Notamacropus eugenii: one gene and its partners. The protein of the gene in region 1 interacts with the protein of each later gene in a pairwise test. Links are inferred from orthologs where the notes say so. Each region holds a gene or a part of one and is shown in the gene's direction. Other genes may lie near its edges.

Region 1 (7,025 bases):
TATTGATTGCTTAGACCTCCCCTTCTCAACCCGCACCCCCCCCCCCCACCCCGCCCCCAACCACAAACAAGACTGTGATTTGGGTCACAAGACAAAGGTAAAATGATCCTGAAGGATAGAGGGTTCTATGAGGAGGTGGAGTAAGTGTTAACTCAGCTCCTAGGAATAACAACATTCTTGAGAGATTACATTAGTTCTCAAGCTGTCAGAGTAGTGGGCAGGTAGGTGGGGTACTGGATAGAGTGCTTGGCCTGGAGTCATCTTCCTTAGTTCAAATCTGACTTCAGATACTAGCTGCGTGATCCTGGGCAAGTCACTTAACTCAGTGTGCCTCGGTTTCCTTATCTGTAAAATGAGTTGGAGAAGGAAAAGACAAACCACTCCAGTATCTTTGCCAAGAAAATCCTTAGTGAGGTCAAGAACAGTTGGACACAACTGAACAACACTCAGCTAGTATCCTGTGCTTAGTAAAGGCTGCTCTTCTTCCCCTTGAATCTGTGACCTGGGACTGGGTAATGGGTGACAATGCTGCCAGATGGGCAGCCTTTCCTGCCCCCAGCACTAGTTCTGGGGTCCCCCAGATCTCTTTCTGTCACTATGATTGCCTCTTATTCTGGTGCTGATGCCAGTCTTCTGGACAACCCTCACCCTAGAGTCAGCAGAACCCCCTTTTTGTCTTCCTAAGCTGGCTGGGGGGGTAGGGGGTGGGGAGGGAGCGATTCACTGTAACTTTGCTTGACTTTCTTGATCAGAATTCAGTTTAGTACATTTTCTAGGTTGTTGTGGAAAAGATGTATTGAGATAACTAGGCAATAATGCTGATTCTCACTGCACCATCTTGACTCCGTCCTTGTCCAACCATTTTGGAAAGCAACGGACAATCAGGCTAAGAAAATGACTGAAACGTTCATATCTTTGACCCAGAAATCCCTTTGCTAGGCATGTAACTTGTCAGCTCTGAAAAATAAATGCTCAAACAGCCCACAGAGGTTTCAGCAAAAAAGCTTTACTCCAACTGTCAACTGAAAAATTAAACAAAACACCAAAGAACTCACAGAGGTTATAGATAAAAAGCCTTCTGTATTCCATCACAGGAGGGAAACTAGACATGCATGCTGGGGCCTGATCTAAGACCAAGGTAGCCCAAGACAGGGAGGCTAATCCTTGATGTATACAGAGGTGGCATGACAAAGAAGGAAGCAGTGAGGTGTAACCACTACAATGAGGTAGAACAGCAACAATGTGGCAATTTGGCCTCCAACAAAAAGTCCATTCATCGCAGCTTCATGACCTGAATGTAATTCCTGCAGGTGCTTGCCCAATCTCAGGGACCACCTGGGGCTGGTTTGAGACAGTTCTGTGGTTTAGCTGCAGCCCAATTCTCCCAGAGGGCAAGTGCAAAGAACTGTTACTATGCCAAGCTCAGGGCACAGCTTGCTTGCTGGGCCTTCGTCTGGAAAACTGTGTCCTGACAGAGGAGCGAAAAGAGAGGAGTGGTTTTGGCGTGCAGGTCCTGACAGCTAGCAATTGACTTCTTCACTGAGCAGTTCTAATCTACAGTATTTAAAATATACCTTAAAACTCATATTCCCGCTGTTCTCAAACTGAAGTTGGATCTTGATGGGGAGGGTCAATTGTTTTCTCAGATGATCGTTTTCCTCCCTAAATTGTCCTTTACATAATTGACACAGGAAGTACTCAGGAGAGTACCTCAGTGATGGACCTATTTTCATTTGCCTTGATGACAAATGCTCATTTAGTTCCTGGATACCCAGACCCAACTATGGACTTAGGTAAGGTTCTTGAAATGTGCAGTTTTGCAAAGGACCACTTTTTGTTATGACTAGTGACCCAGGTGGTCCCCTTCCACAAAAGGCATCAGCCTTGGATTTCTACAAACCAGGTTCATGCTGGGAGGGATCCTATACACTAAAAAAAGAAAGGGAGGTCAGGCTTCTGTTCTCTTTCTCATCTTTGATGTGGATTAACTTCAGTGAAATCTCTAAAACCAAAGTTCATGTATAGGGTCTCCCCAAGGTGGTAGAAGTGTCCATTTCAAAAAAGTTACTCCCTGTACAAATATCAATTAAAAGACAATGGTTTATTGTCTCCACCAGAGAAAATACTTAAAACACTAAAGATTCATAAGCCTACACAAGTACAGAAAACATAAATCCTCTCAACAATATTCTCCTGAAGGTAAAGGCATTTATTTAGTGAGACTGCTTAACAGATCTCACATTCATCCTAGACCTACACTGTCTAAGGAACTCTCCAGATGTCCAGGTCGGTTTTTTATTGTTTACACTTTAATCTTCATCTATAGCATCCTTCTTCTCCAAGAAATGGTGATGTTTTGGAAATAAACTCTCATGAGATGACTGTTATGGAAAGGGATTGAACCAAATGAGCTCTGAGTTCATCTCTTGCTATTCTAGATCTATGATCCTATGAGAAAGGTAGGGGAAGAACATTTCTTTATAGTAGTGTACTGTTTGGGACTGTCTTTTACTTTTCACTGGTCCCAGAAAATCTTAGAGCCCCAAATGTGTCAGTTGTATGTAGGTCCCTCTGGCTTAAGTTTAGAGGACATCAAAATACCACAGTGTAAGAGAGTAATATGTGAGAGACAGTAAAAGTTGTTTCCACAGTGAGTTATTGTTAATTGACGAAGTCATTGAGAATAAGTTAGAAAATAAGAAGGCCAACAGATTGCAGGTGGATTCAACCAGTCAAAAGACAGACAGACAAAATGACAAAATTTTTGATAAAGGAACCAAATCTACAGCTATCTGAAACTAGACAAGAAAAATGACCTAGAGTTGCCTAGAGAAGGCTTGTCTTCACTGCGCTTGCTTAATGAACCTCATGCATATAAGCAGACATCCCACATAAAATTATCCCTCCATTTTCTGATCATGGATCCTATGTTAGAGCATGTTTGGGAGGGAGGATCATACCAAGGGGCGTTACACAATGGGAATGTAGAGAGAGGGTGACCTAATGGAGGATGGACCAATCCATCTCCTGGTGGGAGGATCTGTCTTCGAGTAGCGGCATACAGCTCATCCTGGTGCTGTATCCAACGCTCCCTCCTCCTCCTGAAAAGAGGATGGCAGCCAAAGTGTTCAATTCCTCCAAACTCTGCTGCAATACATTTTCCTTGATACTTTATTAGAGTCAGGGGTGTTTCTAACAAATAAAAGGAGGTAATTCGTTCCTTCTCTCTCTAATTGTACTGTCCTATCTATACTTTGAAACAAATACCTACAGTTCAAAAGCAGCCTGTCTCCTTTTTCCTGTCTTCTCTCCCCTTCCTCCCTGTCCACCCTAACGAGAGAGAAGTTTCACTCTAGCGGTCCATGAGGGGAAGAGGATATAGAACGCAGAAAGCAGAACCAGAAGTAACAACGTTATAGAGACAAACAACTTGGAAAGCCTTAAGAACTCTCATCAGCACAAAGATGGACCAGACGCCAGAGAACTGATGCTGAAACAAGGTCTCCGTCCCCCAGCTCGGAGGGAACACATTCAAGGGGCACAACGAGACCATTTTCAGCCAGGGCTGGAATTTTGTTTTTCTTGAATACGCATGTTGGGTACAAGGTGTTTTAGGATTTATGGGGAGAAATACTCCCGGGTCCAGAGAGAGCCGATGAGGGCTGGGGGCAGACGGACGCATATTTGTTCACTGTTTTTCTCGGTTTTTCACGACATGGCTACTGTGGAAAGTAAGCTTTGCGTGATTTTACACGTCTAACCGACATCGCATGTCTTGCCTTCCCAATGGGTGGAGGAGGGGGAATCGAGGAACATAATTCGAAATTCAAATTTAAAAAAAAAGTTAATGCCCCAAATAAAAGAAAACAAGGTTTGGTTTGTTTTTCCTCAATGGATCAGGGAGATGGAAGAAATGAAATCTGGGTTCCTCATAAAAAGAAAGTTTAATTTTTTAAAAAAATTCTGCTCGAATCCAAGCCATAGCTAAGCGTCGAAGAACAGCAGGCGGCGCCTCCGCATCGCCTCCCGCGAAGGCTCAGGGCGGGTCGGGCCTCCCGGCCGGGAAAGAGGGCTCCACCTGCTCCGGGAAGGGCGGTGCGGGAGGAGCTGGGCCGGCCGGGCCGGACCGGGAGCGAGCGGACCCGCCCTCGCCGGGGCCGGGCTTCGTTCCATTGGCCGAGGGGAGCTCGGAGGCGGGGCCGGCTCCCCCATAAACAGAGGCTGCGAGGGCCGGCGGGGCCACACCTGCTCCGATCTCCGCGGACCTAGGGAAGAGCCCCCTGGTCGTTCGCCGCCGCCGGCCCCGGGTCATGCTGCCAGCCTGACTAGGAAGAGGAAGCTCCCGGGAGACGAATGAGGAACCACCTCCTCCTGCTGTTCAAGTACAGGGGCTTGGTCCGCAAAGGGAAGAAAAGCAAGAGACGAAAATGGCTGATTTCGTGATCCGCCCCGCCACGGCCGCCGACTGCAGTGACATCCTCCGGCTGATCAAGGTAGCCCGGCCGCCGCGCCCGCGGAGCCCGCCTGGGGCCGTCTTCTTGGGGGTTAGGGTGGGAGAGGACCTAGAGGACCCTAGACACCCGGGGCTCCCCTCATCCCTGCAGGGAAACTTTCTGAGCTGGCCAGAGTCCCGTAGGAAAAGAGAGAGACGGAGAAGAAGGAAAGAAAGAGAGAGATTCTGCGTGGCAGGGACCGTGCTAAGGTCCGGGGTCGGAAATCCAGACCAAGGGAGTGACAAGGACAGGGACAAACTTAGCAGAACCTGCGCCCTGTCCGCTCACCGCCCGGGTGATGGTCTGTGCGGCCGGTGCACGGCTCCGCCCACGCCGGTAACCAGCAGGCGGCTGGATTTTCTGCCTGCCCCTTCTGGCGGAAATCTGGGAGTTCGCATTTTCCCCCCTCACTTAGTTTCAGGTCCGTTGCGCGTGTTTAGAGTGGACCAGGAACTTGGCCCAGACTTCTCCCGCTCCCTGAGCAGAGCTCTTGGCCCTGAGCCTGGCGCTGCAGGTGCTGAGACAATAACCCTGCCTCTTGGAGATAAAAGGACTCCGGGTTCTTATGTGTTGTTTTGTCTCTCTTCTTTCCCTTTTTATCTGCTCTTACCAGGAACTAGCAAAATACGAAGAAATGGAAGAACAAGTAGTGCTAACTGAAAAAGGTAACTCATTTGAAAGGAGGTTTGTCTAATAGCCTTGGTGACCGGCACCATAGCCATTAGCCATTTTCTGTCCCTGTTGGCCTTTCTTATAGATCTGCTTGAAGATGGGTTTGGAGAGCACCCTTTCTACCAGTGTCTAGTGGCAGAAGTGCCCAAAGAGCATTGGACACCCCAAGGTAACTAACTTTGCCCCACCTGTCCTGTTCTTTCTCTTGCCCTTCTTTCTCCCCACCCCCACCCCAGTAGGGAATCAGAAAGAGACAGGATGTTGATATAATGTCTAGTTTTTGCTTAGAACGGTTGGCTAATGCAGAAGGTTGAGAGTGTGCTTTTGGGAAAGGTGGCCAGAAATAAAGCAATCCGATGTTGAAACTAGAAAACCAAAAAAAGTGGATGTAGTGCCATTCTAAAAATAGGGTGAGTTAAAAGAGGTGTTTGTCAGCAAAATGCCCTACGTATTCCCCGGAAAACTGGGTATGATGTCATTTGATGTAATTCAGTTTCATAAAATAGTTCTTGTTTGACCCTAACATAACCTTTTTCTGTAATCGTGTTGAATCACATTTTTTCTTTAATTTGTCCCAATCTTCAGGTTACAGTCTCTAGCTTCGCCATGTACATGGCCCTTCTGTGTACATGGATGGGCGGGGAGGTAACTAAAAGATCCGTTACTCAATAAAGTAGATGATCATGATAAATGAGGTAAGGCCTAGAGGGACAAGTCCTCTTCCCACACAGTGTAAAAACCAAACCAAACCAAACCAAACACACGGTAGATCAGAAATTCCATTAGGATCTCTTCCTGGCTGTGTTTACAAACCAGGGTGAAGTGGCTAAAACGTTTAATTTGACCACTGACTAGTACGCCTTTTGGGACTATTGGCAAATTCCAAAAGTTAAGTCAGCTGTTTGAAGTTGCTGGCTCATTGTTTACTGGATGGGAAACTCAGATAAAAAGGGAAACTCTCTAAGGAAGGCGGGGGTGGAGGCTGTTTCAGGTTAGGAGGTTTGGTTTTTTTTTTTTTTTATTGGTGGGGGTTCTGTGTTGGGTTTTTTTTTCCCCCAGAAATCTGTTCCTTAAAGTAAAGGGAAGAAATAGGCAGCACTTTCACCCACCTGGCAGAGGATTAAGTGTGAAGTGCTTGCTGATCCAAGGTACAAGGAGGTCACTTAGCACTGTTTATCTGCCTCTTGTGCCCTGAAAAACTGGGGAGAGTAAATTGGAAAAAAAAAAAAAAAGCTTCTGGAATTAGCTGAAGCTACTGGCATGGTGTTCTAACCTCAAGGAAGTAGAGTTCATGAACTCCTTGTACTTAATAATATTCTGAACTGCCGTGTAAACTCGATTTATATTCACAAGTGGACATACCAGTAACGCAGTAGGTTGGGAATAATGTCTGTATTTACATAAAGGTCATAGCAGCTCAGCTCTCGAGCCATTAAAACTGTTGGAGTTTCTGTGAGGGGTCCAGGAGATTGCAGAGTGGGTCACACATAGACAAAGCGGTTATTCAGAGATGTCAGAATTCTTCTCCTGCCTCCAGCTCTAATGTGCGCTTCTTGCAAACTCAGAACAGCAGGGTAGCCTAACAATGGATCGTACTGTTCTAGCATAATGATAGCTGCATGCAGAGACTGACTGTGATAGCAGCTTAGTTTTCAGATCCATGCATGTAAAATTCTAAAACCTGTAAACATTCTGAGTGTGTGGCTACAAGTGCTATGGACTTTTTCTCCTGTTCTTTTTTACTAAAATTCTGTGATCCTCTGTTCCAGGATACAGCATTGTTGGCTTCGCTATGTATTACTTTACATATGACCCATGGATTGGGAAACTGTTATATCTTGAAGACTTCTTTGTGATGAG
Region 2 (7,794 bases), on another chromosome or scaffold:
ACTGTAGTTGTTGCTGTGCACAAAGTTCTCCTTGTTCTGCTCCTTTGGTCAGCATCAGTTCATATAAGTCCTTCCAAGCCTCTCTGAAGTCTTCCTGTTCATCATTTCTTATAGCACAATAGTATTCCATTATATTCGTATACCACAACTTGTTCAGCCATTCCTCAGTTGAAGGGTATCCCCTCAATTTCCAGTTCTTGGTCACCACAAAGAGAGCTGCTATAAATTTTTTTGTACATGTGGTACCCTTTCCCATTTTTATGATCTCTTTGGGATACAGTCCTAGAAGAGATATTGCTGGGTCACAGGATATGCACATTTTTGTAGCCCATTGGGCATAATTCCAAATTACTCTCCAGAATGGTTGGATCAGTTCACAGCTCCACCAACAATGAATAAGTGTTCCAACTCTCCCACATCTTATTCAACATTTATCAGCTTCCTGTTTGGTCATGTTAGCCAGTCTGATAGGTGTGATGTGGTACCTCAGAGTTGTTTTGATTTGCATCTCTCTAATCAATGTGTAGCCACAATTTACATTTCACATACTTGGTTCCCCTGCACCACCATCACCACCAAGACTTCTCTTTTCAAGGTAAGCTTCTCAATTTATTCAAACATTTTTATATACTAAGATTTATAGATTCTTTTTTATTTTAGTCACCTTTGTTTATATACGCTCTTTGTCAATGCCCCCTTTAAACTGGAGTACCCTGAACTAAAAACAACACTATAGATGCAGTCTAACCAAAACAGAAAAGAGTGGAAATATTACCTTTAAAAAAATAATGTTAATTAATGAATTCTAAGATTTAATTAGGATATTTTGGGCTTTTTTTTAGTAACCACATCACACTGTTAGTTCATACTAAACTTCCATTCAACCAAAATACCTATATCATTGCCAGATTTTCTCCATCTTGCATTTGTATTGATGTTTTGAATCTAAACTTTGAACTTATAAACTTTATCTTCATTAATTTGGGTCTCTCTTTTAAGCCTATCAAAATCAATTTTAATCTTAATTCTGTCATTTATCAGTCCATCTCAGGTTTTCATTGACTATGCATTTGACAAGCATACCTTCTAGATCTTCATCCAAATCTTTAACAAAAAATATCAAATAAAACAGAAACAAGCATTAGAGACAAGTAGCATGGCAATGAGAACAATTTTTGCTGACTGGTATGGAACCATTGATAAACACTCTTTGGATCCTGCCATTCAGTCAACTATGAACATGACTTACTCTACTAATACTCAATATATTTCCCACCACACCAACTACTAAAAGTGACCTTTAACTTCTAGAACTTAAGAAGTTCAGTAGGGATTCTTCTCATCCTTCTATTAGTATCAGAAGAGGGTGTTGATACAGTGTTCCAGGTAGGAGTGTACATAGTAAAGCAGAGACCAGTCGCATACAAAATGACTGTCCGTGGATGGCTGGAGTTGTATCTGATGGGCTCTTAGCCTTCTTATTGGAAGGACCCTATCCCTCAATCTGTTAGCTTTTTCAAGGATCTGTTGGGAAGGATGGAGTTGCACAGAGAGTCCTGAGCAAATGTTTAATAGTTAGAGATTTCTTGATAGGTTTTTTTCAATTCAGAGGTCTTTTCACTCTAATTCTTTCTAGATCATACATCATGGAATTTTAGATCTGGAAAGCTCAGAGATGGTAGAGACCTTTCAGTTCAACTCTCTCATTTTACAGATGAGGAGACTATAAAGTTGAAGTGACAAGTCCAAGTCCAAGGTCACCCCAGCTTCCAGCCAATATGTTTTGTTGTGTCACTGAGAGCTGTTTGGAAGGGAAGTCTGTGAGAGGAGTAATGTGTACATGGATAAAAGTGGTGGTTGGAATGAGAATGGAAAGAGACTGGTGAAATTTTTTAACTGACAACTATTAGCTTGGGGAAGTAGATTCAGGAAGTTGGGATCATGGTATAGCTTCATTCTGTTGTACCTTTATATTATTCAACCTGATTTTTTAAAAACGTGTTCAGGAGATGTTACAAAGGTGAAATCAGTAGGCCCTAGCAACAGATTAGATGTAGGGGTGAGAGATAGTGAGAAGTTCAGGATAATTGTGAGCCTGCAGAATTGGGAGGATGATGTTACCCTCTACAGTAATAAGGAAGGAAGGGAGGGTTTAAAAGGAAAGATAATAAATTCTGTTTTGGACACGTTGAATTTAAGATGCCAACTGGACATCGAATTGGAGATGTCAGGAAAGCAGTTGGAGATTCAAGACAGGAAGTCAGCAGAGAATTTTGGGCAGGATAGGCAGACCTTCAAATCAGCAGCAAAGAGATGGTAATTAAATCTATGGGAGATGATAACTAGTTTAGAGGGAGAAAAGAACTCAGGATGGAATGCAGAGGGATAACTACAGTTAGAGGGCATGCTCTGGAGGAGGATCCAGCAAAAGAGACAGAGAAGGAATGATCAAATAGATGGAAGGAAAACCAGGAGAGAGTCCCAAACACCTAGAAAGAAAAGACTATCAAGGAGGAGTCATCAAAAGTGTCAAGGGCTGCAAAGATGCCAAAGAGAATGAGGATTGAAAAGTGCGTTTGGATTTGACAATCAGTGGGAGTCAATTTGAGCTGTCTCTTAGCATGCTCCTGAAGGAGTAGGCCTTTAGGACAATCTAGAACCTGAGGAGCCATAATTTTCAACCATCCCAGCCCCAAAATGTACAGCTCAGGACACGGAGACCCAGAGAGAGCCAATAACTTACCCACAGTCACATAGTTTTAGTAAGTAGTAGAGACAGATTTAGAGTGCAGATCCAGACTCTTAAGTTTAGCACTCTTTCCACAACACCATGTAAAACTGACCTAAGACTTTGGGACACTGCATATCAGAATCCATCAACTCTTAATTAAATCAAGATGGAGTCTGTGGCCTTGTGCTACATATGTGCATTATACACAACAGATGCAAAATAAATGGATGTTGAATGAATATTTAACAAGCAAATATGAGATTTCATGTATCCAACCCCAAGAATTGGCAGAGGTGACCCCCAATCTTCTTGACTTTTTTCTCCAGGCCCTTTTGTAGGAGTAAAGGTGGGAAGACATGTGGAATATGGCAATGGTTGAAAAATAGCCCATTGCCTAGAATGCTGTCAGATTAGGGTAGAAAGGTCTGAGCACCAGTTGCTGATAGAAAAGGGAGTGTATACGAACCTTATGGGACAAGGAGAAGAGCTGTCATATTATGGGGAATAAGGGGTCTCTGGATGAGGAGCACCCCTCCCCCCAATAAAAATGTAAATACTCCTAGGAGTTCTGTTATCCATCAATTACATCTCAAAGTAAATGCTTGTATTAGACCGACTATTTTGACCAGGCAGAGAGGACAAAGAAAGGACGAGCAATGCCTTTTTAGCCTGGTTTTTAAGGTCTTCCACAATCTTCCTCCAAGTTACTTTTGCAACTTTGTATCTCAACTTCTTATACTCCAGTTAAGCCAAATTGCATCTTTCACCACTCTATCTCACCTGCCTTTCCACCCTCTATGCTAGTGATCACATGGTCTTTCATGAAGGCAATGGCCTTCCTCACTCTCATCTCTGCTGTCAATTCAGGTACAAAAAGCACAGAATTCATCAAGAGAGAAGGGGTACTGCCAGCACCACTCTGAATGAGTCCCATCCTGTCTGGGCCAGTTTGTCTTTAAAATGAGGAGATTAAGCTTGATTTTCTCCAAGATACAAATCCCTTTGATCTGTTTATGTCCCCTATCTTTTTTTTCCCCACTGTTTCTTCCCCATTAGAATCTAAGTTTCTTGGGACAGAGTTTTGTCTTCCTCCAGCTCCCTGCACTTAATACAGTACCAGGTATATAGTGAGCTCTTAAGAGATGCTTGTTGACAAACTGTCTTTAGAGAGGTCTTCCTCCAATCTTTCCAGGATCCCTCCAGTTAATTAGAGCTTTCTTTTCCTGAATTTAAAGTCCTCGATTTTTTGCACTTTCTCATATTCTAAAACTTATTCTAAGTTTTTCTAAGGTTCCACGCCCCTGGAGGGCTAAGTAGGGGTCTCCTTCATTTTTAAACAGGTACTGGAAAACTGGAAATCAAGGAGATGCCCATCAACTGGAGAATGGCTGAACAAGTTGTGGTATATGAATATAATGGAATACTATTGTGCTATAAGAAATGAGGAGTAGGAAGACTTCAGAGAGGCCTGGAAGGACTTATGTGAACTGATGCTGAATGAAAGGAGCAGAACCAGGAGAACTTTGTACGCAGCAACAACCACAGTGTGTGAGGAATTTTTCTGATAGACTTAGTCCTTCACAGCAAAGCAAGGACCTAAAAAATTCCCAAGGGACCCTTGAAGCAAAATGCCTTCCACATTCAGAGAAAGAACTATGGAATTGGATCCCAAAACGAAGTGGACCATTTTCTCTTGTGTTGTGTTTTTTATGGTGTCTCCCATTCATTTTCGTTCTTCTGTGCAACATGACTAAGGTAAAAATGCATTTAATAAAAATCTATGTCTAGAACCTATATAAGACTGCACGCCCTCTTGTCTTTGCGAGGAAGTAGAGAGGGAGGGGGAAGGAGGGGAAGGGAGAGGGAAAAACTAAGATATAAACTAAGATAAAACTAAGAGATGATTGGAGAAAACTGAAAACAAATCAAATAATTTTAAAAAATAAACAGGTACTGGATGGAGTTGCTGGCTTGGGGGATGGGGGGCGGGAAATAGAAGCTGGATTAGGAACTAAAAGCCGCAGCCAGGAGGACTGGGGATCCAGTTCTTAACAGTCTTTCAAAGTCAAGGAGCACCAGACTTTGGACTCCTAACGTGGGAAATCCAGGAGCGAGCCGGGGAGCCTCGCCTCTTCCAGGAATTGAACGAGGCAGGGAAGAAAACCTGGCTAAGTCCAACGCAAAGACATCTCCAGGCGGCCGGGGCCCAGAACCCGGAACATCTCGGTAGCGGGCCGGGCCGGTCCCTCCCCGCCCACGGGATGTGGGCGGTCTCCGGGGCAGTGCTCGCTCCGCCCTTCCAAGGTCCCTTTGGGCCCCGGGGGAGCCGGGTCCGCCTCCAGGCCGGCCTAGGCTCCGCCCCTCTGCTCTTTCTCGTCTCGGCGCCCTGAGCGCAGTGTAACCCAGCCCCCAGTGAGTGTGTAGCCCGGCCCGCAGCGTGTAGCCCGGCCCGCAGCGTAGCCCGCAGTGTGTAGCCCAGCCCGCAGCGTGTAGCCCGGCCCGGCTGGCGCCGCAGAGCCGTGTGTTTGCAGCGTCTCCCTCCACCCGCTCCAGGATCCCCGGTGCTCACGGTAACCCCAGCAGCCCTCCCTCCCTCCCCCCACACTGTCTCTTTTCTCTACTGTATGGGCTTCCCGCCTGGCAGCCTGCCCTGCCTCGCTGACCTCCCAATCCTGGGGCCACCGGGCCTCTGTCCCCAGCCCCGCTTCTAACGTAGCACCCCCCCTTTTCTCCACGATAGCCTTCCGCGGCTTTCCTGGGACTGCCTGGCCTTTGGCTGTCTGATGGAGTTAGTCCCTGTTGGTGACGGTGGCATTTTTGTAACCTCCTGGAGGGTATGGGCTGGGATGAAATTGACACTGTATCCCTACCAGGGAAGGCTTTCTTTCACGGAGATACATCTTGATACACTTTTGCTAAGTTTCATAGTATATATAATCATAGCTAGCCTTTATGGCCGTATTTTAAGGCTTGCAAAGCGCTTTACATATGTTAATTAGAGCCTCACTATAACCCTGGGAGATGGGTGATATTCTTATCCTTTTACATATAATAATAGATAGTAGATATTCACAGAGCTCTTTGAAGGTTTGCAGAATGTTTTACAAACCTTTCATTTGAGCCTCACCACAGTCCTGGGTGGTAGGTGCCATTATTATCCCCACTTTACAGAAGAGGAACATGAACTGTAACAAAGATTACAGTGATTGGCCATGCAGATAGTGTCAGAGCAGAATTCTAACTGATAGTCGACTTACCTAGTCAGGACAGGAAGAGATCTTAGAAACTTGAAACAGAAAGAACATGAGAGATCATAGGATAAAGATTCAGAACTGGGAAGTAGCTTGGGCATCTGGGGAGACCAGCCTGCTTATTTTTTACAAATGAAGAAATTCAGGCCCATCATGGAATTGACTCTCCTAAATTCACCCAAACAATATGTAATAGAGCTCCTTACACTCAGCCTTTACAAATGATTTAGTTTCACTGTATGACAGATAAGAAAACTGAGACTCAGAGGACCATAGGATTATTAGAGCTGAATTTTAGACATGGAAAGAATTTTGGATTTGGAGTTGAAGGACCTGGGTGGGAATCCTGGCTCTACCCAGGGAGGGGCAGCTAGATAGAGTGCTGAGCCTGGAGTTTAGAAGACTTGAGTTCAAATTTGGCCTGAGACACTTACTAGCAGTATGACCCTGGGCAAGTCACTTGACCCTATTTGCCTCAGTTTCCTCATCTGTAAAATGAGCTGGAGAAGGAAATGGCAAGTCACTGCAGTATCTGTCCCAAGAAAATCCCAAATGGGGTCACAAAGAATCAGATGCGACTGAAAAACAACTTACAACAGTCTATCATGTAATTCAAGTGTGACTTTGGCCAAGTCACTGGGCCCACTCCTTGGGCCTCAGTTCTCCATCTGTAAAATGAGGAGGTTGGACTCCATGACCTCTGAGATCCCTTATAACTAAATCTATAGTACTTTGACCTTAAACAATCAACAAAGGAACATTTGTTAAGCATCTGCTTTGTATTAGGCCAAGCACAGAGGTATGTGCTGTGGATACAGAGACTACCAAAAAAAAAAAAATAGCCCCCTACCGCTACCCTTCAAGAAACTTACCTGACTGGTATGGACAAGGGGGTTGGACAACTGGAATGTAGGGTACTAGACCAGTGATATTACTGTACAGAGAATTCCCCTCTAAGGAGTCTCTACCAATGCAGGCTGGCATCTTCTCTGAAATTTACAGTCTTAGAAATTAGCTCAGGGCATGAGAAGTTAAATCCTTTCCCTGTGGTCACACAGCCTGTGTGGATCAAGAGCAGGACTTAAAATGTAGGTCTTCCTATTTGTGAGGCCTACTCCACTGTACCATGTTTCCTCTGCATGTATAAGTAAATACAGTATATATGTAGGTGTATATGCACATATATTTGTTGTTCAGTGGTATCCGACTCTTTGTGACTCCATCCTGCTATTGTATCTTTTAGCATTTTAATACTGTCCATGGGGGTTTTCTTGGCAAAGATACTGGAGTGGTATGGTATATTCTTTCACGGTAGGCAGGCTTTAGGCATGGGTTCTAGTGATAGCTTTGTTTCTGTTCATAGGCACCATATTCAGGAAAGCTTATGTAAGAAGGTTCTCCTTTCCCAGGATATCTTTTTGGCTGTTGCAAGGTGCGAAGCCAGGTGGAGTTGGAAATAAGATGAGACTGAAATATGTATAGGTGGAGTCCCACACAGATGAAATCATAAAGCTTAGAAGTATTGTAGCTTGTCTAATCTAAACAGTAATAACTTATCTTTATATAGCAAAATCATCATTCTAGTACTTTCCTCATGACAACTGTGTGAAGTAATTAGGGCAAGTATCTTTATTCTACAGAAGGGGAAACTGAGACTTGGAAGTGAAGGCACATGCCCAGAGTCACCCAGCCAGTAATTCATAGAGCCATGACTTAATCCCAGGTCTTGTCTCCAAAATCCCCTTTTAACTTATTGATTAAACACCAGTTATTCCCTAAAATTAATTGCTAATTCATATATACAAAGTATTT
Region 3 (7,967 bases), on another chromosome or scaffold:
ACAGAAGAGAAATACCACAAAACCCGCAGTCTCATACACCCATTTCATTCACTTAGGAAAGAAGGTCTGTGGATCTGAATTTTATTGAGAGCCAAGATGGATATACATAGATACACAATACATTTGTACATAATACATATGTATGTGTAAATCAGTATTTGGGACTTGCAACCACGTCCAGACTATAAAGTAGTGAGACTGGTTTCTGATTTTTCTGTGTTCTGTAGGAGCCCTCTCAGTACTTTACAAATTGTAAATATAAATTAGCATCTATTTGCACATATAGAGAATACATTTTTTATTTACATGGAAGTTCAGAGGCTAGACACATTTAGCTACCCAGTCCCGAAAACTTTATTAAGCATCTACTACGTGAAGGGTATATACACTTGCACATGTAATTTTATCTATAACATATCTATACAATAGAATATTGGGGGACAAATTATATACAAACATAAAAGTTTCATTATACATACACAAGTCATTATTTATCTGTTCTATAGTTGCACTCTATTATTTGCATGTACATATTTCATAGAGGCATAGATACACAATTAAATATTAGAGAGTCAGAATCAGACCTAGAATCTATCATAAGCATACACACTTATTTATTATATACTCATGCATTATATATAATGTATGTATTTTAACACAGTGCCTTACAGAAGTAGTAGGCACTAGATAAATACTTATTGATGTGACCCACATAAAATATATGATATATTTGCATTTTTGTTAGTTTGTTGTTTCCTTCCTTGCTTCTTTTCCTTCCTTTTTTCCTTTCTTCCTTTTTCCTTTCTATCTTCCTTTATTTCCTTTCTTTCCCACCTTTTGTTCCTTCTTTCTTTATTTCCTTCCATTTTTGTCTTTTGGTCATTCTGTCTCTCACTGTCTCTCTTTCTCTCCCTGGATGTCAACAAGAGAATCTTCCCGCACTCAGCCAGAGATTGTAATATGAACTCACCCGAGGTCCCTTGCCCAGTGTCTCAGACTCCATTCTTCTCAAGAATTCCAGCCCATGGGCCCTTAAGTGGATGGAGAGAATCAAATGGGAAGATGTTCTGGTTTCCATAAGGGTCCTTCCCCTCGATTGCAAACCCAGATTCTATGCAGAAAATAGCAAGAGGTTAAGAGAGAAGACGGGTCTTCTGCCTATAAAATAAAAGATATTTGACTCTTTAGGATTTTTTTTCTTTTTGCTGTGTTGGTGAGGGGAGAGGGGAAGGAAGGGATGATCACCTTCTCAGGGCAGGATAATTCAGCACTCAAGTTGCTCTCTAGAAAGAGCCTTTCAGAGCCCAGTTCTGGGCTTCCAAAGGCTCATTTAACAGTAGCAATAATGACAATTATAACTGATCTCATTGAAATAGAAATAGGATTTCTACTCAGCATCCAGGGTCCCTCAGTCTTAGAGCCCATTCTCTTTCCCAGAAGACAAGGTAGCTAGCATAGACATTTGAAATGCAGCATTTTCTGTCTTTGAGGAGTTTTCTGGATTCATATGTCACCTTTTTTTGTCTGCACCCACTCCTCAATAAAAATGAAAGTCGTGGAGGACTTCAGGAACACAGGAATCCCCATTTGGAAAAGGAAGGTTTCCATGAGGCTCTGCCATGGATTCCTTTTCCCCTCAAAGGCTCTTCAGGGTGGATTCAGTCCCAAACCTTCAATGGGAGAAAAATTACACACACACACACACACACACACACACACACACACACACACACACACGGATTCTTTTTCCCCTCAAAGGCTCTTCAGGGTGAATTCAGTCCCAAACCTTCAATGGGAGAAAATTTCACTCACACACACACACACACACACACACACACACACACACACACCTGAAGTGAAGGCTCCACATCCCCGAAAGAAGGGGGAGAGAGGGAGAGAAGCTGCAGCCCCTCATAATCACCTTCCTCTGTTAGGGATCCCACGCAGAATTTCTCTAGAATCCCAGGGAAAGAGTCCTTCTAACCCACACTGATCACTCCAATCCAGACACCGAAGTCAAAAAGAAACCTTTATCTCTTGGGACTTTAGGGTTTGCCCCAATTTCTCTGGAAGTAAGAAGAGGATTCTAAACCTTACAGTCCTCTTTCTTCTGCTCCTGTTAAACTTTAAATGACAGCCTCCTTTTTTCGCAGTCCTTCCTATATTTCTTTCTTTCTTTCTTTCTTTTTGAATGAGCTTTGCCAATTGAAATAGGCTACCGGGTCTCTGGCGTCCTGAAGGCGGAAGAATAGAGGCTACCAGCAGGGGAAAACAGAAGGGCTAAGGAAGAAATAGCCCAGCAGACAAACTCGGCTTTGGGAGTGTGTGTACATATATGCATATACACACACACACATAGTATGTATATGTATATATAGTATGTATATATGTACCACATACATATATACACATACATATATAACGCATATGTGTGTATGTATGTATGTTGTATATTCCAGCCTCCAGCCTCCACCTCTGTTTGGGCTCTAATTTATATAGTATAGAAAATTATATACTCAGCCCTGCCACGGTTCGTAACGCTGTTATTTATGGTAGGGGAGGACTGATTTTTTTCCTCGGTAATATATTTATTACAGGTAAGCCGACAGCAGACTCCATCAGTCTCGCAAATAGAGAACAGGTGTTTAAGTTTAATATTGATTCAGGACCGCTCTTTGGTCGGTGTTCTCCCTCTCTGACTCTCTGCTCCAGCCTTACTTCATCTTTTCTTGTCTCTGCCAAGCATCCCTGAGCCAGATAGGGGCAAATCACACCGGGGTCCTTTTCCCGAAGGAGCCTAGGGAAAAATTCGGCGGACTCGCATGTTCTTAGGCCATCCGTCCATTGTGCTGTCGCCCGGGGGAGAGCTAGGTTCGAGAAGGAGGAGGAGATGGGGGTGGGGATAGTGGGGCAGTACTCGATGCCAGGATTGATCTTTAAAAAATCATTTTGGAATCGCCATCATGGAAAGAAATATGACGCTACGCCCTCGTATTTCACAAGTAATGACACGAGATGGCTTCATTTGGAAAGGAAAGGGAGGGAGGGAGGAGGGAGGGCAGAGTCGCCCCCCCCCCAGATGACCTGAAGGCAGCAAAAAATCGAGAAATCATAAGTTGGAATGACCCTATATCCTTTTGTTAAGGGGACCTTAGGTAACAGGGCTACCAGAGAGATATGGAACAGGAGGCAGCTTGCTCTAATCCCCGCGTCCTCCTCAAGACTCCTCTTGCCGCAGAGGGATTAAGCTTTTCAAGACATTTCTTACGCAGGCCACCGAGACTTTCAGCACCTCACTTTTCAAACACCCCACAACAGCAACTCTGAAAAAACAACAACAATACCCTGGCCCAAAGTAATCACATTCCAATAAAGTTTCCCCTCTACTTCTCCCTTTCCTCCACATTATACTTTTTTAGAGCAGATCCCAAACTTCTTGGGGCTCCCCAACTAAGAAGCAGACCACCGAGGGTTTTCCTGGAAGGAGGAGGAGAGGAAGCTTGGTGAGATGCGAGACGAACCAAAGTGTTGATCGGGTCTCTCAAGTGCCCGCGAAATTTATATCAATTAAACGCGCTCTTCAGAAGCGCCGGCTAGGCTGCCAGGGAGGTGGGAGGCCATTTCTTCAACCTATTCTCGGCTGCCTCAGGATTTCCTTTACTGGAGGAGATGTGGTAGCCTGCCTTAGAGAAGCCGATTCAGGGAGAAAGGAGGGGGAGAGGACCTATTCAAGAGTAAATAGCTACTATCCAACCCAAAGGTGCAACTCACATTGGGGACCCCTATCCGTTGTCCTTTCGTTCTCCAACTGGAGTGACTCTTAAAGTACTGATCAATAACTCTTCACATGAGGGGATTGGATTGGATCAACTTTGTGGGCTGGGGGCACAGAGAGGTACAAATCACAGGGAAGTTATCCCTGCATTCCCTTCCAGCACCCACCCGCCGCCTCTCTAGGGAAAAATCAGAGGTACCTCGGGTTAAGTTTTAATTAAACTCTTTGCCCGGCGTAAGTTTCCCGTTCCGTTTACTCCCTTTCGCTGTATTTTACCAATCCTTTAAACTATGGATAGGCTGTGATTTCAAGGAGGGGGGTGGGTGGGACGGGGGCTGGGTTGCTAAACTGGTCCCCCCTTCTCTTCCATTGTTCTTGTTTGTTTTGGGGGGTTTCCTCCATTATTAGGGAGACAAGGGAGGCCCAGCGCTTAGGGCTATCAATCCCGCTCGGTCCCAAATAAGCGCAGTAAAAATTTTAAAAGTCAGGCCGCTTATTTCTCCTCAAACCCCTTACTTTGGGTCTGTTTCTCTCTGTCTATCTCCTCTTTCATTAGCTCACCCAGTTTCTCACCTTAAACGAGTCGGCTTTTAAACAAGAACAAATTCATATTTGAGTAGCTTGGGAAAGGGAAAGGAGACCTTTACAGGGGTGGGAGAGTGACGGGTGGGAGTGTGAAGGAGCGGAAACTATCTATTTTTTAATTATTCCTTAGAATCTCTCAGGCTGCTCTCCAGACTGGGCCCTTTCCCTTTGCGACCCGCCAGGGGAGAGTGCTGAGCAGTCAGAGTCCCTTCGATGAAGCACACAGCTCTTTCCGTCCGCTCCCCCACCCCCGCCCATGTTGAGAGTTAACCCCCCTTCCTCCAAACGGGGGGGACCCCGGGCGGCCGGCGGCTTGGGCTGAGGTTACGTGGTCGCTGGAGCCCTGACGTGTTGCCACATTGCATAAAACAATTCATCCTTGATATGGAATGCAGCGCGGATGACAGCGGGAGCGCAGCCCCCTCGCTCGATTGATTTACGTCGAAGCTGACGCTTTATCAGGCAGTCGGAAAAACTTTGACCAATCATTTTGCAAGAAGCTCCGAGCCCGGCTGCTCAACTGTACTTTGTTGGCTGAGAAGTTGAGCAGGGGGTGGGGGTGGGAGGGTGGGGGGTTGGGGGGTCGCGTCCAAACCCTCAGACCTGTCCTGTAGCCACCTCTCCCGATATAGGGCGCCTCCGCGCTAGTGCTTCCCTTCCCTGTAAACGCTCCCTGTATAATGTCTGAGAATGTCCATTTCTGGGACGCTTAGCAGTTATTATGTTGACTCGATCATAAGTCACGAGAGTGAAGACGCGCCTCCAGCCAAGTTTCCTTCCGGCCAATACACGAGTCCTCGCCAAGCCGGCCACGCGGAGCATCTCGAATTCCCCTCCTGTAGTTTCCAGCCCAAAGCTCCGGTCTTCAGCGCCTCGTGGACGCCTCTGAGCCCTCACTCGTCGGGGAGCCTCCCTTCCGTCTACCACCCGTATATCCAACACCAGAGCGTCCCGCCTTCGGAGAGCAGGTATCTCCGCACCTGGTTGGAGCCGGTGCCCAGGAGTGAGGGGGGGCCCGGGCAGCCCCTAGTGAAAGCCGAACCTCTGCTGGGGGGCTCAGGGGAGCTCCTTAAGCAGGGCACCCCGGAGTACAATTTAGAAACTTCTTCCGGAAGGGAAGCTATCCTATCTAATCAAAGACCCGGCTACGGAGACAATAAACTTTGCGAAGGAAGCGAAGACAAAGAGAGGCCTGATCAAAGTAAGTTATAAAAAGTGAGGAAATGCCAAGGCAACTAGAGAGCTAAGGGTGGGAGGGAAGAGGTGGGGAGATGGGAGGGAGGTAATAAACCCCGGACAATGTAAAGTTACTGCGGTGTCAGGCTGAGAGTAAGAAGGAAGGAGGGCGGGATACTCGGAAGTGGGGCAGGCCAACTACCCCAGGAGGCGGGAAAAGGGGTAGATGTGGCAGTCCCCTTAAAATTCTAGAGGGAGCTTTGTCCAGGCAATAAAGACAAGCTGGACCAGTTTCCCGAGTTCTCTTTCTCTCCCGTGCTCGAAGACAGGGAGCTGCTGGATGGATTGGAGCGAAGTTGGAGGGAAGAGGGCCACTGAATTGACAAGGAGAGAGTCAGGGATCAGGGGGAGCAAAACAGGGCGTAAGCGGAACCTGGGAAACTTAGAAGAGAACCCTAGTCCCGAGCCTTAACCTGCTAAATTCCCTCTGACTGTGAAAGTGTGTGAATGGGAAGAGGTTTGGGGACAGCTAGAGTGCTCGCGCTTCTTAGATTAAATTCACTGTCGGTGAAATGAATATTTTTGAGCCACGCGCAAACAGTAAAAACAAACAAACAGCAAAGAGAGGAAGGACTGGAGGGAGGGAGGGGGCGCCTCATTAGGGTTTTATTTGAGATGCAACAGCTTGGTGAATTGTTCAAACTGGATCACGCGCCGCTTCCGTCCCCTGTTTGGGGGAGGAAGGGAGGGAAAGATGAAGGAAAGGGACAAAAACAACCACGTAGTAATAGTACTCAAGACTTCCGCCCTCGCCTCGTCCCAGCCTTTCCAGCTCCGCCTCCCCAGCTCCCCCTCCGGGTCGGGAGTTTAATGTGGGCACGGGCTCGGCAAGCATGGAAGGACCAGAAGTTAGAAAGGAAGCCTTGCGCCTTCTCAGTATTTTTTTCCTTGGTCTCTCTGAGCTCTAGGCAGTCCCACTTCGTCTGTGCTTTCTTCTCAGCTGAGGATGATTCATCTTAGCCAACCCCAAACTTCTCCCTCAGGGGTGCCCCCGCCCAGTAGCCTCTGTGGACTGTATCTTTACTTCTTAGTTGGAACGCTTTGACACCTCAGAGATCTGCTCTGAACTTCCCTGGACATTTTTCCTGGTACATAGGTCGAACTCCCAAAGTTTTATTGGAGAGCTGATGGAGTTGACTGGATGTAACGGGGCTAAAGAGGAGCTTAACTTTTCTGGATGGAACTTGTTCTGCACAGCTCTCCCTTCCCCTCCTCCCTCAAACCTTTCAAGAACGCCCCTTTCCAGATTCTCCAGTCTTTCAGAAGTAGCAAGTTCCCTGGTATTGTCTGTCCCCGTTTTTTGAGATAGAGTAGGAGAAGTAAAGTAGGGGGTACTTGGGCAAAAAACCATGCCTCTAAACAATAAACAAAGCCGAGACGAGACGTGACAAGGTTCTCTCTCTCTCTCTCTCTCTCTCTCTCTCTCTCTCTCTCTCTCTCTCTCTCTCTCTCTCTCTCTCTCCTCCTCCTCCTCCTCCTCCTCTCTCCCTCTCCCTCTCCGTCTCCCTCTCCCTCTCTCCCTCTCCGCTTCCATTGGGGCCGAATTTACAGTCCTGGATCCCCTCTGTCTGATTCCCCATGGTTTTTCTACCCTGAGTAGAGTAGTCTGGAGAGGGCTGGCAATAAGGGTGGGGGCGCAGGAGGTAGCTCATCAGGGTTGGAGCTGGGGTCAGCTGTTCGGGAAAAGACGACTCCCCTCTCTACTCTCTACTGAACAAATGTGCCCCTCGAACTGGGCCGACCAAAAGGGAAAGAGTTTGTATTTTAGGAGGACACCCCAAAGCCTCACACTCGGCCTTGAAATCCCTTTAAAGCGAGGGAGCAACTTCACCAGCATCAATTATTAACAGCTTTCTTCCTCTTTAATATTTAATGTTGCTCCATGTCCCAACCCAGTCAATCACATTAAGGAAATAGCGCAGCAAATTGGTGAGACACGGTACTTATAGCGTCAGATTAACCGGATTATTTTAAAATATTCAGGGCATTCCATTTTGGGAGAGGAAATCAACCCAGGATGGCTGTTGTTCGCCATTGGTTCAGCATTTATTTCAAGAATTTGAAAAGAATCATAGGGAGAAGGACTCAGAAAAGAGCGTTGTCTCTTAGTTTTTATTTGTTTCTTCTCCCCCCCCCCCTTCTGCCCCCTTTCCCCACCTTTGCTCACTGCATGGGTATTGGGCAAAGTAGATGTGTATGTGTGTGTGTGGGGGGGGGGGGAGACTTGAGATCAGGACTCTTGCTCCCCGCCCCACCTCCCTCAATTTCCCTGCATATTATCTCTGAACCTTGACTTAACCAAACTCCAAGGCCTAGAGAGGCCAAGGTGAGAATATTGCAATCATAAGTTATTTCAGAGCCACTGGCAAAG
Region 4 (7,119 bases), on another chromosome or scaffold:
CTGTATATCTCTTTCCCCATCAGACTATGAGCTTCTTCAGAGCAGGACTGTTTTTAGCTTTTCACTTAACAAAGTGCCTGACATACAATAGGTGCTTAATAAATGTTTCCTGACCAATTTGTTTTACTTGGGGAATACACAGTCACCTTCCTACTTTCCCTTCTCCCCCATGATGTTTTTTGATCCTCTTTTCCCCAAAGCCTGAAGGAGCAGACAGGAGGAAGAAGGGCCCCATGTATACAGGTACCATTCTTCCGCCCCCTTCAGGGCCCACTTTGGAATTATCTGAGCCAAAACAAAAACTCCACAATTAAAATTGTTATAACTTACTATTATATTTTCTTCCCCTCCAATTCCCTCTTTCTATCCCAACCTGCTACAAATATAAATAAATATTTTGTAGCTTTTTAATTCTGGAAAGGAAAAAAATTAAGGAAAAATTGAAATAGTTATAGAAAGTTTAAATACTGCTACTGCCTAAAAGCACTCTATTCTTGCCCCATTCACATTCTTTCATTTTTCTTCTCTTTAATGATCTACTTTTCATGAAAATATATAACTAGAGTTGCCAGTTTTATCCCTATAAAAACAATCAGCAATACATAAACCATTATGCCATTCCATTGAACATGGTAGGCTGAAAATATCTGGATATTCAAAACTCTATCCACAAGAGTGGACCAGTGACCATGTTAAAGTTCTGTAGAGTCACAAAATCAAATCAAAAGGATGAAAGTGTTAAGTTTTGAGCTAGAAATGACAAAAAGGGCCCCTAGCTAAACAAAGCTTCCACAATCATTCAAGTAAGTCCTAAATAAGAGAACAGCCAAATCCTAAAAATGGCCAAAATGAATGTTGCTTAAAGAATAGGGGAAAATAGAAGGGAACTCTCATGCTCTGAAATAACCAGAGGATCAAAAACTGTGACCACTCTGTGCTAGAAGGTTAAAAATAACACACAGAATTTAACTTTGCACAAAATGCCTACATGCCTCGGAGAATGGAATTTTCTAATAAAAATATGCACATTTACAGCAAACAACATTAAAAAGTATTCCTCGTGTGTCAAGCCTAGTCAGATGCCCATTTTGTCTGTTTCTATCCTAGCTCTGTTAAAAAGCATGAAGTCTTTCTCCAAAGCCCAATTCAATTATATACCAAAGGCAGTTATCAAAAAAACAAAATAGAGTTTAAATAAACTAAGACCAGTAAGATTAAGCCAGCTGAATTAAATAACCTCTGAGGTTCCATTTAGGCTCCTTAGGCTCTAAAACGACTATAATTCTACTAGTTTCAAGGTTCTAGTTTTAGAAGAAATATTTTAATGCGTCTGAACTTTTTAAGTTAAAAGTTATAAAGAAAGAAAAACTTTCTTAAGGAATCTATGAAACTCACCATCCTGCTACTTGAGGATTTCAGGCAGTCCGAAAGAAAGCTGAAAAGGGGAAAGAGTTTACAAACTTTTCATTCCTTATTTTATTCAAATATATCTATTTAATCTAAACAGTACATTTACAACAATTCTAGTGGGTCATGGTTAGAGGGAGAGAGCAGCAGATGCAAACAAAAGACCACAGGCAAGAAAGGGAGCTTGCTTTGAAAGCTATCCTCCAAAGCCAATGCCACTACACCTTTCCTTTATTTGCTTTATTATGTGAGCCAGTTGTGTTTGTGTTTATGCATATACATGTGCATGTGTCCCCAAAGAAAGCCACTGTTAATAAAGATTCCCTTTAAAGGAAATAATTTTGCTTTATCTCTTTTCCTTTCCTTTCCTATCAATTTTCTTTTGTTCCAGGTCTGTGATCTCTTGGTGTAAGTAGCTTCCAAGTGAGGAAATTCCCTCTATTCTATCCATAATTGTTCTCCAATTTATTAATCACAAAGCATTTATTAAGCACCTACTATGTGTTAGGCACTGTGCTAGGTTCAGGGGATATAATTCTTGCCCTTAAGTTTATATTCTATTGGGTAAGATAGCATATGCACATATAAGTGTAGGAACAGGGAAAGGGACTTGCCCGGTTATTTCACTGCTCTAGGGAATTGCTGGGTGAGGAAAAGCTCTATTCACACAGGTTAGCACTTTCTCTGTTTCCAGCACAGGGAAGCGAAATCTCTAACCACCAAGTTATCTGATGTCTGGTATAAACATATATACATATGGGGATCAGGAAAGGCCTCAGGCAGGAGGTACTGTTGAATTTTTAAGGAAACCAAGAAAACCATGTATGAGAGTTTCCAGGTACACCAAGGAGCTAAATGACTTGCCCAAGGTTACACAGCCAATATGGCAGCAGCAGGATTTGAACCCAGGTCTTTCAGAGGCTGACTTTCAATACACTATACCAGAGGATTTCAAATGTGGTCCTGTGGACCCTGGGGTTCCTTATGACATTTCAAAAGATTTTGCAGTATCAAACTATTTTCATAGTAACACAAAGATGTTATTTGCCTTTTTCCCTCTCATTCACTCATGAGAATACAGTGGTATTTTCCAAAGGCCACATGACCTGTCAATTAAAGTTTAGCTGCAAATGCAAAAACTGTTAATATCTTGTCTGGAAATTTGTACTTACACCTGCCACCGTGAGCTTGACAAATTTCCAATTCTTAACTCCAGTGACATTAATGATTTAAGCTTGTTACATAGTATGATGAACTAGGTCAGCATGGAGAAGATCTGCATACCTTACTGAACCAATACTTTCCAAATGACCAATTTATGTGTTACAAAATCTTGGGTAAAAGATCCATTTAAAGTATAAGATTCAACCAATGGATTTTAACGGAGCACTGTTCCAAAAGGTCACATATGTGGTTTTAGATTCCTCATTGCCACTAACCTTTAAGAAACTACCACGTGACCACTTTTGGTACAGCATCAAAGACATCTGGAAAGGCCATTTAAAAAAACTCCCTTTTCCAACTACATATTTGCATGAGACTGGGTTTTCTTCACATACTTCAACTGAAAAAGACATATTACAAAAAATTGAATGCAGAAACAGACAGAAGGATCCAGCTGCCTTCCATTAAGCCAGAAACTAAAGGGATATGCAAAAATGTAAAACATGGTCATGCTTCTCACTAATACTTTCTTGTTCTGGAAAAGTTATTTTTTAAGGTTAATTATATTCACATCTAATAATTTTACTATTACTTTAAAAACAAGAAATATTTTAAACATTTTCTCAGTTTTAATTTCTAATGCTGTATATCAGCAATAGCTATAACCCACCTAAAGGCAGTTTGGGGTCCAGAGACCAAAACATGGGAGAACCACTGCTCCTCAGATACACCAAAACCTCTCTAAATACGAGTTTGACTTTAAAGGAGTAGAGAAAAACCAGCCCTTCATCCAGACTGGATCCCCACTACAGCTCACTCCTAAACACGTGATTGTTTACAATGAAGGAACGCCCCCGCCGGTTCTTTCCCTTTCCACTCCCAAACTGTCCTTTTGGGATAAGCCACTGTTTACTTGTTTGATGATTCCGGGATATCTGGTACTCCAGGGGGTCAGGGTTCCACCAGCGGAGGTCGGTGTAAAACACAGGCAGGAAAGGGATGCGTTTCTACTCCTTCCGGCGCCCAGGACGGAGTAAGCTTGGGACAGCGGCCTGGCTAAATCCTCGCTGCCCCGGCCCACGCCCTCAGGACTCATCTCGGTCCTCAAATGCCAGCCGAAAGGCGGGCAGTGCTGACGGCCGCGATACGGGCATGGAGGCGGGAGAATCAGAGTGACAGGACGCTGAGACTACGGCGCCACCATCAAGTGCTCCGCTACAGTAGTGGTAGTTACTACTTACTAGTAAGTGCTTCCAACCGCAGGAGGAGTCGTCGCTCTCCTAGGGCCCTCCTCCCCGAGGTGGCCCACCCATCCCCACTCAGGAAAGCCGGGCTCTCGGAACCTCCCTCCGGCCTCCTCAGGCTACGGAACAAACGCTAAGACTTCGCGCTTAAAACGCGGGAACTAGAGGCCAAGTCTCGAGCGGAAGGAAGGGGCACGAAAACGAAGTTCCTCCTCCCCTCGCTGTGCCTCTGCGCAGGCCTCTCGGCCTCCCGCTCTCTTCTCCCCGCTCCGTCCCTAACCCGCAGCCTTCCTCCCTAGGTTCACCTCACGGCTGCAGCACTTCCAAACACGAACGGCGATTCTAGACCCCAAACGAGCGGACCGGAAGAGAGTAAGGCCGACGCACAAAAGGAAACGGGCCACTTCCGCTCTGACCCCAAGGCAGCGGAAGCCCGTGAGTAGGAAGCGGAAGCGACTCCCAGGTGGGCGGGCGTAGTGAGAGCGAGGCTCAGGTCTGGTGTTCCTGTCCTGTCGCGTTCTGTCTGCGGCCTTGGCGACGGGTCCTGTAGGAGTTTGGGTGCAGCCTAGGCTTCCATTCCTAGTCTCCTGAGGCTAAACTGCAAAACTTTCAGGAGACCTTCGAGGCGAAGCTTCTCTTCGTAGAAAAGGCTAAACTGAGGCCAGGAGCTGCCCTAGGTTACGGGGGGAGGGGCAGGGGCTTCTCGGCCCGGACCTGATTAAGAAAGGACGCCGGGAAGGCAAAAGGCTGGGACGACTGCCCAGGGGACCGCGGCCGCCGCTGCCGCCCCTGACGAAGAGACCGCTTCAGAGGGTTCGAAAGTGCCTTTTGGTTTGTTAAGATATGCGTAGATGTATATATTCAATATAAGTTGTTGACGTTGCGCAGTGATGCCGGTTTGGTTCTTTTTCCCCTATTGGTTTTATGTGGGCTTTGGGATGATCCGAGTTCAAGCCTTGCCTTTAACACCTAACTTGTTTTATGAGGCAGAACTGAGTTCAGATCACGTCCTCATCCCAGGGTTGTTGTGTGGATAAAACGAGTAAGATTTGTGAAGTGAGTGCATGCTGGCTTGAGCTCGTGTGCCTCGCATAAAGTTAGGCGCTTACTGCTACGATGATTGAATTTAACAGCCGCTTTATCTCGGCGTCCCAGGCCACACAAGACTATATATATATACTATAAAAAAGTTGCAGATCAGCAGCAGTGGAGGGAGTTCCCAACATCAGTTTACCCATACTCTTGAGATCATGTTCCTAAAGGAGAAAAAGGAATAGCTGGGGGGGTTTTTAGTCCCTGGAAATCAAGCACTTAACAAATAGCTCAAGAGGGGAAAGGTTCTTTATGGCTGATTCTTAGAATCTTTACCCTCTTGTCAGGAATTGGATATGAAATTAATTAATTACAACTGAGGAAACAAGGTAATTTATCAGAGGGTATTTCACCAATATGCAGTTCTTTTATTGTGTTCAGGGACATATCGCTAAGCTTTTCTCTCAGGAGAAAAGTAACTTCCTGAAAGACACTTTTTGATGCTTTCTATATTCTTCCACTCGATGCTTTTTATATTTCACTGCTTTCACATTCTACTTTGTCTTATATTTGAACATCTAAATGTCTTATTCCCTCCTTCTCCAGTGCACATTAGATTATTGTAATTATTGTAATAATGTGATCATAATATTGTAATAATTGTGATCATCAATATCTTACTCATTTTTATATCTTGTCCTATCACTGCTCTCCTTCCTCAATTAGCATTGTCCCTTATTCATAATAAAAATTTAATAAATACTTCCTGAATGAATGAATTAAATTAAATTAACTGCCTCTCTAACTAGAGTGCTTGAATGTTGTCTCCAACTACTATTTACGTTTCCTCTTTTTTTTCAACTCTTTTCAGTCTGGCTTCTAACTTCAATATTCAGCTGAAGCTAGTTAACAATCATCTCATAATACTAAAACCTTATGCCTTTCTCAGTCCTCATCCTTCCACCCTCTGCGGCATTCTCTCCCTGTTGATCATGTTTTTCTCCTATATATTCATTCATTTGTATTTTCATGACATTGATCTTGCTAAGATGGGCTCTGTCCTGAACCCTTTTCAAGTACAGATACATTGTATCTCAATCAATCAGTAAACACTTATTAAGTACTTACTTCGTGCCAGGCATTGTACTAAACACTGAGGATACAAAAAGAAGCAAAATACAGTCCCTGTCCTCAAGGACCTCACAGTCTAAAGAGGGAAAAGCATGCAAACAAATACAAAGCTAGCTGTAGATGGAATAAATAGGAAGTGATTAACAGAGGGAAGGCATTAGAATTAAGATGAGTTCGAGGTTTCCTATAGATGGTGGGATTTTAGTTGGGATTTAAAGGAAGCCCTGGAAATCAGTAGTTAAGAGTGGAGGAGGGAAAGCATTCCATGCATGGGGGACAACCAGAGAAACTTTACAGGAAGTTTCCAGATGAAGGGTCTTATTCATGCAACAGTCAGTAGGCCAGTGTCACTGGATGGAAAAGCATATGTTAGGGAGTAAGGTGTAAGAAGACTGGAAAGGTAGGAGGGGACCAGATTATGGAGGAATTTGAATGCCAAACAGAACATTCTGTATTTGGTCCTGTAGGCAATAGGAAGCCATTAGAGTGGTCAGACCTGCACTTTAGGAAAATCACTTTAATGGCTGAAGAGGATAGACTGGAATGAGGAGAAACTTGAAGCTGGCAGACCCACCATCATGCAGTAGTCCACATCTGGGGCAATAAAAATGTACCAAATTATTAGTAATGTCAGAGGAGAGAAGGGGGTTGTATTCAACAGATGTTGCAAAGGTGAAATAGATGACCCTTAGCAAGAGAATTGATGTGTTTGTAAGGGGGGGAGGTGGTGGCAGAGGTGGCAGCGAGGAAAGATAGTGAGGAGTCTAGGATGACTCTTAGGTTTTCAACTGATCTCCATCAGCAACCAAAAGTTTAATTACCCTCTGTGCCAGTGACTCTAAGATGTACATACACAGCCATGAGTCTCTCTCCTGAGCTTCAGCACTTGGAACTAGATGTACCATAGATGCCAGCTCAGATGAAACATGTCTAAAACAAGCATTTATTAAGTCTTTATGATGTGTCAATACTGTGCTGTGATATACTGGGAATACAAAGAAAATCCAAAATAGTCCCCCTGCCTTTAACAAACTTATGTTCTAAAGGAGACATGTTAAAAGAAAAAAAGGCTATTTTCAAGATACTTAAAGAATAGATAGGTGACCTTAGAAGGGAATGTTTTAGCATTTGGGGAGACTAG

Evidence for each region.
Region 2: the proteins of SAT1 (region 1) and CASP7 interact in binary tests that used the Homo sapiens proteins (3 or more experiments, as listed by UniProt). The two-hybrid records come from large-scale screens. The link is inferred for Notamacropus eugenii from reciprocal best matches to the Homo sapiens genes SAT1 and CASP7.
Region 3: the proteins of SAT1 (region 1) and HOXB9 interact in binary tests that used the Homo sapiens proteins (3 or more experiments, as listed by UniProt). The two-hybrid records come from large-scale screens. The link is inferred for Notamacropus eugenii from reciprocal best matches to the Homo sapiens genes SAT1 and HOXB9.
Region 4: the proteins of SAT1 (region 1) and NIF3L1 interact in binary tests that used the Homo sapiens proteins (3 or more experiments, as listed by UniProt). The two-hybrid records come from large-scale screens. The link is inferred for Notamacropus eugenii from reciprocal best matches to the Homo sapiens genes SAT1 and NIF3L1.

The regions. Positions count from the first base shown.
Region 1 is NC_092876.1:453,304,838-453,311,862, reverse strand, and holds the start of SAT1 (diamine acetyltransferase 1), read left to right. Parts: upstream 1-4,010; 5' UTR 4,011-4,427; coding exon 4,428-4,493; intron 4,494-5,106; coding exon 5,107-5,158; intron 5,159-5,250; coding exon 5,251-5,334; intron 5,335-6,934; coding exon 6,935-7,025. UniProt on the Homo sapiens protein: Enzyme which catalyzes the acetylation of polyamines. Substrate specificity: norspermidine = spermidine >> spermine > N(1)-acetylspermine. This highly regulated enzyme allows a fine attenuation of the intracellular concentration of polyamines.
Region 2 is NC_092872.1:192,055,037-192,062,830, forward strand, and holds the start of CASP7 (caspase-7), read left to right. Parts: upstream 1-4,779; 5' UTR 4,780-5,301; intron 5,302-7,794. UniProt on the Homo sapiens protein: Thiol protease involved in different programmed cell death processes, such as apoptosis, pyroptosis or granzyme-mediated programmed cell death, by proteolytically cleaving target proteins.
Region 3 is NC_092873.1:352,395,165-352,403,131, forward strand, and holds the start of HOXB9 (homeobox protein Hox-B9), read left to right. Parts: upstream 1-4,954; 5' UTR 4,955-5,050; coding exon 5,051-5,561; intron 5,562-7,967. UniProt on the Homo sapiens protein: Sequence-specific transcription factor which is part of a developmental regulatory system that provides cells with specific positional identities on the anterior-posterior axis.
Region 4 is NC_092877.1:297,045,904-297,053,022, forward strand, and holds the start of NIF3L1 (NIF3-like protein 1), read left to right. Parts: upstream 1-4,115; 5' UTR 4,116-4,250; exon of another isoform or gene 4,251-4,646; intron 4,647-5,204; exon of another isoform or gene 5,205-5,236; intron 5,237-7,119. Other genes in the region: PPIL3 (peptidyl-prolyl cis-trans isomerase-like 3), read right to left, coding at 1,396-1,398. UniProt on the Homo sapiens protein: May function as a transcriptional corepressor through its interaction with COPS2, negatively regulating the expression of genes involved in neuronal differentiation.